Linked DNA regions of Arabidopsis thaliana. The protein of the gene in region 2 binds, or shares a complex with, the protein of the main gene of each other region. Each region holds a gene or a part of one and is shown on either strand. Other genes may lie near its edges.

Region 1 (4,078 bases), on a different chromosome or scaffold from region 2:
AGATCACCATTAACTTCATCATGGCGTTTTGTTTTCTTCCTACCCGACTTAACATTTGACTTTACATCTCCATCCGCAGGTTCTGTCTCAAACCTAACCTTAGCAGCTGACTCCTTCTCAATTATTTCAGTAATGCTTTTCTCCTTCCTTCTGTGGGGAAGCCTATGATCAGGAAAACCAGAACACTTCTCTAACGATCTCTGAAGAGACGACGACTCTTCATGATCCAAAGCTGCTACTTCTTCTACTCTAGACCGTTTAGCACGCCATTGTAACCCATCATTAACATTCTTTTCTTCATCATCATCATCATCATCATTGTTCTTGTCTTCAAGTCCTGGAACTGATTGAGGTTCATGATACTCAGTCAAACCATATCCTCTATTAGACCGATAAAACGCAGATACCTTCCTTTTCAATATCTCCAGCTCAAGCAAGCCACTAAAACTAACAGTCTCTGCAAAACTCTTAACATCTTTAAGAATCTCTCCATGTTTACCAATCAACAACGACGAAATCATTTCCCGTCTCACATCACGCACCAAAACACCTTCTTTAATCCCAGCATTGTTAACTAAAGGACTATCAAACTCATGCTTCTTCTCCTCAGCACAATCACATACCAATACACGCTCAATATGTCTACCAATTTCTTCAACCGCCTCTTCCACTGCACCTAGAAAACTCCGCGAATTACTCACTTTCGAACACTCTTTGAAACTCTCTGCAAACGGTTTCAACTGCGACGCACCGCACCAAGCAAATGTCCCGTCTCCGAAACACGCCACAAGCAATTTCCCTTTTTGCTTTATCTTCAAAGCCAAATCTGAAGCATCTGATGGATCATAAATCTGACCTGGCCACCATGGATGATTCTTAATTTTTCCCCACACAAAATCTCCTACACAGTATCCATGCTCTTCTTCTTCTTCTTCTTCTTCTTCTTCTTCTTCTTCTTCTTCATCTTCGCCATCTTCTTCTTCCTCTTCTTCTTCTTCTTCTTCTTCTTCTTCTTCTTCCACATCTTCCTTCAATTTGAGCAAGGAAGAAACTCCATTCATAACACAATCTTCAATAACTCCAGATTCGTTCAAATTCTTCTCATTTTTCTCGTCAACATCAACAACAACATCAGACTTTTTCTCACCGTTGTCGGAAACCCTAACACCGTTCTCTTGAACAACACCATCATCTTTTAGGGTTTTCTCAGCTGATTCAATCTCTGCAGAACAAGGCTTAGGTCCCGCATCTTCTCCGATTCCCAAAACAACTTCAATTTCCATTTTTCTTCCCGACTGTAGAAAAAAAAAATCACAAAACGACAAACAAATCAGAAAAAAAAATCAACCTAACTATTTACACACAAACCCAACAATATCTCCCAAAAAAACAAATTTTGAAATTAGGTTAACTCTTACGAAAAACCTAGAAAAACGAAAATATAAAGTAACAAATTTTTTACCTGATTTTGAGCTCCGAGAGAAACGAAACAACAACTTTTCGAACAGCGACCGAAGAATCTTCAAGAAAAAACACTTCTTTGTAAGAAGAACAAAGACACTCTCAGAATCTCATGAGAAAAATCCTCTCTTTTTTTTCTCTCTGGATTTTGATTTGAGAGAAGATGAAACGCGGCGCAAAAATTTCCTTTCGGAGAAATTTAAGGGTACTTTCGTAATTAATGAGTTTTTTTTTTTGCTTACTTATCTGCTTTTTTTTGCCCCAGGAATAAGACAACGTTTTTAATTTATTTCCCTAAATCAGCCGTGTCGCTATCACAATAAACTGACTAGCTACGAGAGTGTAAAATACAGCTTACTCGCTATGTGTATAAGAACATCAGTGTCTAGATTCTTACGTGGCGGAAATCGGATAGAGAGTAGATAACACGTGTATATGAACGCGAGTGGGATGAAATAAGAGAGACGCGTCACATGCTTTCGATGATTGACAGCTGTAATATGCTTAGACGGCTAATAAGCAGAGTAATAAAAGAATGGAGATTTTGAATTTGGTATTTGAAACGACACAAATATTTGCCGTTTCTCGGCCCAGTCCTTTTCTTTTTTTGCTCGGCCCAAACTTATTATTACACAACACCAGTATCTTAAATTTAGTGCTTGTTGATTAAAGTCTTTTATTAAAACCTCAATCCTAAAGAGTAGGAATCTACCAAGTAAAAGGAAAATCAAAGATCTTTTCTTTTTCATTATTCAACTGACCAACGGTATTTTGATTTTAGACACTGATTATTTTTTCTTTTTCATTCACTGCATTACTTAAGTGGAGTGGTAACGAAAATCTTGGTTATATATATTGAATTGAAAAATATTTGAGTTGAACCCTTATATTCACTTTTTTTATTTTATTCAATTAAAATTTGACATTTAATAATAATAAAAAAATTAATTTACTTATAAAATCTAATTTGTTACTAAAACAAAATTATTTATCGGTTTGAGTTTTATTAAAAAAAGATAAATGTTTAGATTTTATGATTAAACTAGATTTAGTCATTGAATCAATCTTCACACTAATTCATATTCAATCTTTTTGGTCAACTTATGTTACACCATATAAGAAAATCGCTTAAATACATCTTTTGACCCAGTTTAAATGTTTTAATTTTTTTCGTTGAGACTATATAACATGTGAAATCTGTTAGGATAACATTTGATACATCTAAACGTAATTTTCTTGTTGTGTTAATTTTACACGAACAACACGTTCTCATGACATGATTATATGTAGTATCGACGGCGAACCAATATGAATCAACTGTATAATCTGTATTAGAACTGTAATACCAAGTAATAGTGATATATGAATCATATATTTCCCACTACTTAATCATAGTTTGAAAGAAAGCTCAATGACCTTGAACCCAACTTGTGTAAATATTAGTCCATCTCCAAAGCCCAAGGCCCAAGGCAACGTAACAGACGGATCATTACAGTGCCAAGGGAATTCAGACACGTTTAAAATAATTCCGAATTGTAAGTTGTGAACGACCCACCATGTTATCTTTTCATTTATGATTCACATGGGGAATTCACAATTCTCACACGAAAAACATGTGGGCAAAACTAAAAAGACATGCAACCTAATTCAACAAAATGTAATGGTTCATATTTGTACTTGCATAGAATGCATATATAATATGATTTGAGGATGGGTCAAAACTCCAAACGAAATGATTTGAGCATATGTTCTAGAGATTCAGTCAGAATATGAATGCTATACAATCTAAACACTATAAAGCAACCTGGTCATGAGGTGATCTACGTACTCTCTTTGGACGTGAAAAATTATATCAACGGTTTGTCTACTTTATAACTTTTTTATTTATCAGTAAATATGGAAACATTGATTAATTAAGATCCAAGTCTCTTGATGTGATGAGAACATATGATAGCTAAACCAATGCCTCTACTTTTTCTATCTATCCAAATCTAGATTGTGCACCTTAATCTTTTCTACAATATTTATACGCATATCATAAAAATGATCTTAATCTACATGATTAGAAATAAAGGCAAAAACATATATAGATGCAATAGCGAACTTGATTGTTCATATTTAATTAAGTCTCAACTAAGATGATGATCTCTACCACTATCACTATCACATATGTGAAATTACTTGTGTATATGCAAGGACAACATTTGATATGTATTGATTTAGTTTGATATATACATATATTTGATTATATATTTTTACAAGTGTGCCTCTTGGCTCTTGAGAAAAAGCTTCCTTGGCTAAAGCAAAAAGTTTGGTAATCCTTAAATACATATGCCGTCTTACTGTAGTGAACTCACTCCCTTGCCAAACTTTTTGTCGTCCACGAATAATATCCTTGTCGGTCCGATTATTCTTCTTTATTATTTTTAGTAATCAGATGATTTTTGGATCAAAAATTAACCATCAAATTTTATTTCTTCATGCGAATTGCTAAAGCTCAAGTTAATCTAGACGTTATAGCATTCTGATGTTTTGATATATATTAACCAATACTTTATAGACCAACATAATTTAATTTAGCACAATAACTACACTTATTCACACCAATGTTCCCTCT
Region 2 (4,078 bases):
AGTCTGCTTGAAGCTGGATCCAGGGGATTTGGAATCCGAACCAGCCATTGTGATATGGTCTTGGATATTCCACAAAATAACGGACTTGTCCTTGCCTGCACGGAAGAATCTTTGATGAGAAACTTGCAAACCACAAGATATGACACAAAAATAGAACTGATACAAACCTCCAGAGAGAACAAAAGGTTCGGTTGGGCACATTGCAAGAGCAAATTCAGCATCATCCTGGTGCCCAATTAGTAACTGAAAATAAAAGTTGTTCAAATGATGCAAAAAGAGTAGCTCTTTCGATTGTTAATATGATGCACAAGCAGGTTGTTTAACTCAGTGAGACAACATAACGAAAATTCTCACAAGAGCATACCAAATCTGGACGAGAATCTGGAGCTCCAAGCACAGCATACCGGTCTGGTTGAGTCTCAGTGTTCCAAATGAGAATCTGAAAACCAATATATCATACTTGCATGACTGAAACTGGAACTATTCAAAAACAAGGATACTGAATAACGAAAGCCTTTTTTTTGTCACGCTGATGACCCGAGAAAGCAGAACTTACATCAGGACTGTCGGTGTGAGTAGCTACAATCTTGCTATTTTGAGGGAGTTCCCTAATTCTGTTGACCTGCGATGAATGAAGGGTACACAAAACAAAATCTTTTTCAGCACTCAAGTCCTAAACGAAATGCAGATTCAGTAAATCCATCTAAGAAAAAACAATGAGAATACAGGAATATCACACCTCTCCAGGGTGGATGATGGTCTTGTACTTCTTCACAAATGGAGAGTGTGCCTTTTCATTAAGCTGAAAGCATATAAAGAAACGGTATTTCAATAATTTCATCTCAGCAGAGAGTAACACAAGGACAAAAGCACAAGCTTTGGTAGAGAAAAACTAATTACCTGCCTATTAACAGTTTCGCAATTGGCTATGACCAAAGTATTAGGCACACTGCCATTCGTCTAATGACAGAACCAAGAAAAAACGGTAAACATAAGGAGCAGTAAACAAACTTTGGATATTTTTCATCAAGAAAAAATGTACAAACCACAAGAACAAGAGCAAACTCACTTGTTCCGAGAGATAGAGACGTTGAGTCTTAGAACCTGCTTGCTCAAGCTGTGGCCCCCATCTGCTCAAATCAAACAACAGGATTACAACGAAATCGTACCTCTTTACACAAAAGCTAAACACTTCACTAAATCGTAGCACAGCTAAACATCTGAAACCAAAAAGTAACAAAACAGAACACCTAAACCGAGTTGGTCAAGTGTTATCAACGACATCATTTTCCTACCAAAACAAGTTCCAGAGGTTCAAAAATGGAAACATCAGATAGCTAATGAGCTAAAAGCCTAAAAGAGAAAGAAACACAGAAAAGCATGGAGACTGAGCTAAATTAAAAACCCGAACTAGAACATGTCCTAATCTCACAAATTCCAGAAACCAGCTAAGAAAAACTCTCAATCTATGAGTATTTCACTAGCTGAAACGGAAATGTAACTCAATCGCCTGACCAAAAGCACAAAGCTAGAATTTTTATTTCCCAAAAAAGAACCAACTTTCTCCAAAACCAAAGATCGAAAACCCTAGAAACAGAAAACCTATAAAAAAAAACACAGACCTGCAAGAGAGAGAGGGCCAGACGAGGGTATGATTAACAAACGAATCATAGAGAATGGGAAGAAGAGTCTTCCACTGAGAGTAAGTGTCGTCAACGGTGGCCTTTTGACTCTGCTGTAGCAAAAATGGTAACTGAGACTCGTTGTTGCTCTTAGGTTTCCGTCTTCTCTTATCCGTCAAAATGGCTGTCACCGGAGTCCTAGGTGCTCTTCTCGGCCTGGTGGCTTGAACAGTCGCTGCTGCTTCGCTTTCCATTTCCTTCTTTTCTCTCGTTTTCTCTCTACTCTCCTTTGTTTTTTTTATAATATTATTATTTATGCCACGTGGAGTAAACTTCGTCCCGGCAAATACCCAATAGGCAAATACTTAAATTAGCGAATTAAAATGATTTCTTCACACTAAAGAGTATAATCAGTATCTTCCCATTACAAAATTTGAGTAAAGCTTTCTTCTAAATCTTGGTAGAAAGTTACTAACTGATCAACTTAACAACGCAAACGCTGTTCTAAAGGCGGTGAAAATTGAAACCAAAACTCGGTTTAGCGTTCAAAAGAAGAAGATAATTTAATTGTAACTTGGTGTTTAAAGGCTACTTCTCAAGTCTTAACATTCATAACTCTGATTTTACTTGAACAAAGATAAATCTGTTTTTTTTGTCTTTGAACTAGTTGGGAATAGTATTGAGGAAGAAGGATCAGACATAAACACCACTAGCAAGTAGCAAAAACAACGATCCAAAACCCTGCAAATAACACAGAAACAGATTTTAACCAAACATTAGATTTAAAGAAAACTCTTAAACTTAAGTCAAGAGGGTGAAGAAGAAAATCCATACCAAGAAGACAGATGCAACTGCTGAAGTAGCGAGCTCCTTTCCGACGCTTCGGTTTTTCCTGGATGATGTAGCTTCATAGCTGCAACACAAATGTTATGACAGGGTAAGTTTTGATCACTCCTTGTTGGGCTGAATGAATCTAAACCAGCACAATGAATACCAAAAGAGTCCAATATGACCTTATTACAAAGAAGCTAAAATGAATGGTTCAAGTCTATCTTAAAGTTTTGACTCGAGGCTAACCCACATGCTCTCGTAGCCCAGACGCACATTACTTTAACAAACCGAATCATATCTCCTAAAACTTGCCACCCTTTGAAAGGTAAATGCTCCACGCTTAAATGAAAATCATACAAATCTAACTTTCTTGTATCTTAACTAAATCGATAATCAGTCATTTTGTCATATTCAGTGAAACTATTAGAGTACTGATTCCATTTCCATAGACTATCACCTTATCATTGATAAATTTTGAGTCTTTATATCATGATAGTATATAGAGCTCACACATTTCCAAAAGGTTACTAGATGAGTCCCATGACTTTCTTACTTTTTACCCAGAAACTTTAGTAATAAGAAAGGCACATATTTCAACAGATTAATCTAGCAAAGAGATCATGAAAGTGATGAACATGTAGCTTCAGGAGCTTTAGAAGACCTATCTCTAGAGAATAGCAATTGAGAAAGCATTGTGACCAAACCATATATATAAGCAGTAACAATGTTGGTCAAGCTTCATACACAGTGAACAAACAAGAGGAGAGCCTCACACGATTCATAGTTCAGAACCTAGTCATGACTATCACACACTAATCAAGCTTTATGAAAATCAAGATAAATCATAGGTAGATCGAATCTATCAGGAACTGTTTCACTAATCTGACATCAAGTAATATAAATTGAGAACAAGAAGGGGCAATTTCGAAGATCTAGAGATCAGATCAATTATTAGCTTACATGAAGAAGATAGCGGTAATGACGAGACCAATCGCAAGAGTGAACACCGATAAAGTCGGATACAGCGCCACCGGAATCGGACTCGCAATCGGTTTCGCCGCCTTCTCACCGGGAACGAGCACAAACACACCAAACAAAATCAGAAATCGTAAAAGCAACAAATAGAGAGATCAAATTAGCTGTGACTGAAAGCACTTGGACGGATCTAGATTTACCATTGTTGCTAAGCTCTTCTTCTTCTTCTTCGATCTGAGGAACAATGAAAAAGCTATTTGACTGATCTCGCTCGCTTGATCGCTTCACTAAACAAACACGAGTCGCTTCCGGTTTGTACTTAACCGGCTTGTTATAACACAACCACGGTTATTTTATGGGCCAGTTTTTCTGTTTAAAGGTTCGATTTAATAGGCCCAAATATACTTATTAAGGCCTTTGATATAAAATGTGTTCATATCTTTATCTTCTTTTAACGTTGTATAACTTTATTCAAAGTGCAATGTGATCCTTTACCATTTTCGAAAATTGAAATCCACTTCAATGTAGACATCTCCAACTCCTTGTCAATCAATTTCCGGATTGAAGATTGGGTACTCTCTCTAGATTTAGTTCCCACCTGAAAATATGGGACCGGATGTAATAGTAACAGATTTTTGTATTGGTCAACA

What was found.
Region 1: NFC5 (region 2) and AT5G40340 share a complex: the UniProt entries of both Arabidopsis thaliana proteins name them as parts of the PRC2 (polycomb repressive complex 2) complex.

The regions. Positions count from the first base shown.
Region 1 is NC_003076.8:16,133,398-16,137,475, forward strand, and holds the start of AT5G40340 (Tudor/PWWP/MBT superfamily protein), read right to left. Parts: upstream 1,997-4,078; 5' UTR 1,463-1,996; intron 1,296-1,462; 5' UTR 1,284-1,295; coding exon 1-1,283. UniProt on the Arabidopsis thaliana protein: Together with PDP1, PDP2 and PDP6, interacts with MSI4/FVE and MSI5 to suppress FLC, MAF4 and MAF5 expression by regulating the function of the PRC2 complex and modulating H3K27me3 level, thereby promoting flowering.
Region 2 is NC_003075.7:14,560,647-14,564,724, forward strand, and holds the start of NFC5 (nucleosome/chromatin assembly factor group C5), read right to left. Parts: upstream 1,956-4,078; 5' UTR 1,877-1,955; coding exon 1,623-1,876; intron 1,131-1,622; coding exon 1,070-1,130; intron 961-1,069; coding exon 901-960; intron 803-900; coding exon 740-802; intron 623-739; coding exon 557-622; intron 440-556; coding exon 365-439; intron 244-364; coding exon 168-243; intron 96-167; coding exon 1-95. Other genes in the region: AT4G29735 (uncharacterized protein), read right to left, coding at 2,316-2,363, 2,457-2,535, 2,727-2,792, 3,414-3,514, 3,629-3,631. UniProt on the Arabidopsis thaliana protein: Core histone-binding subunit that may target chromatin assembly factors, chromatin remodeling factors and histone deacetylases to their histone substrates in a manner that is regulated by nucleosomal DNA.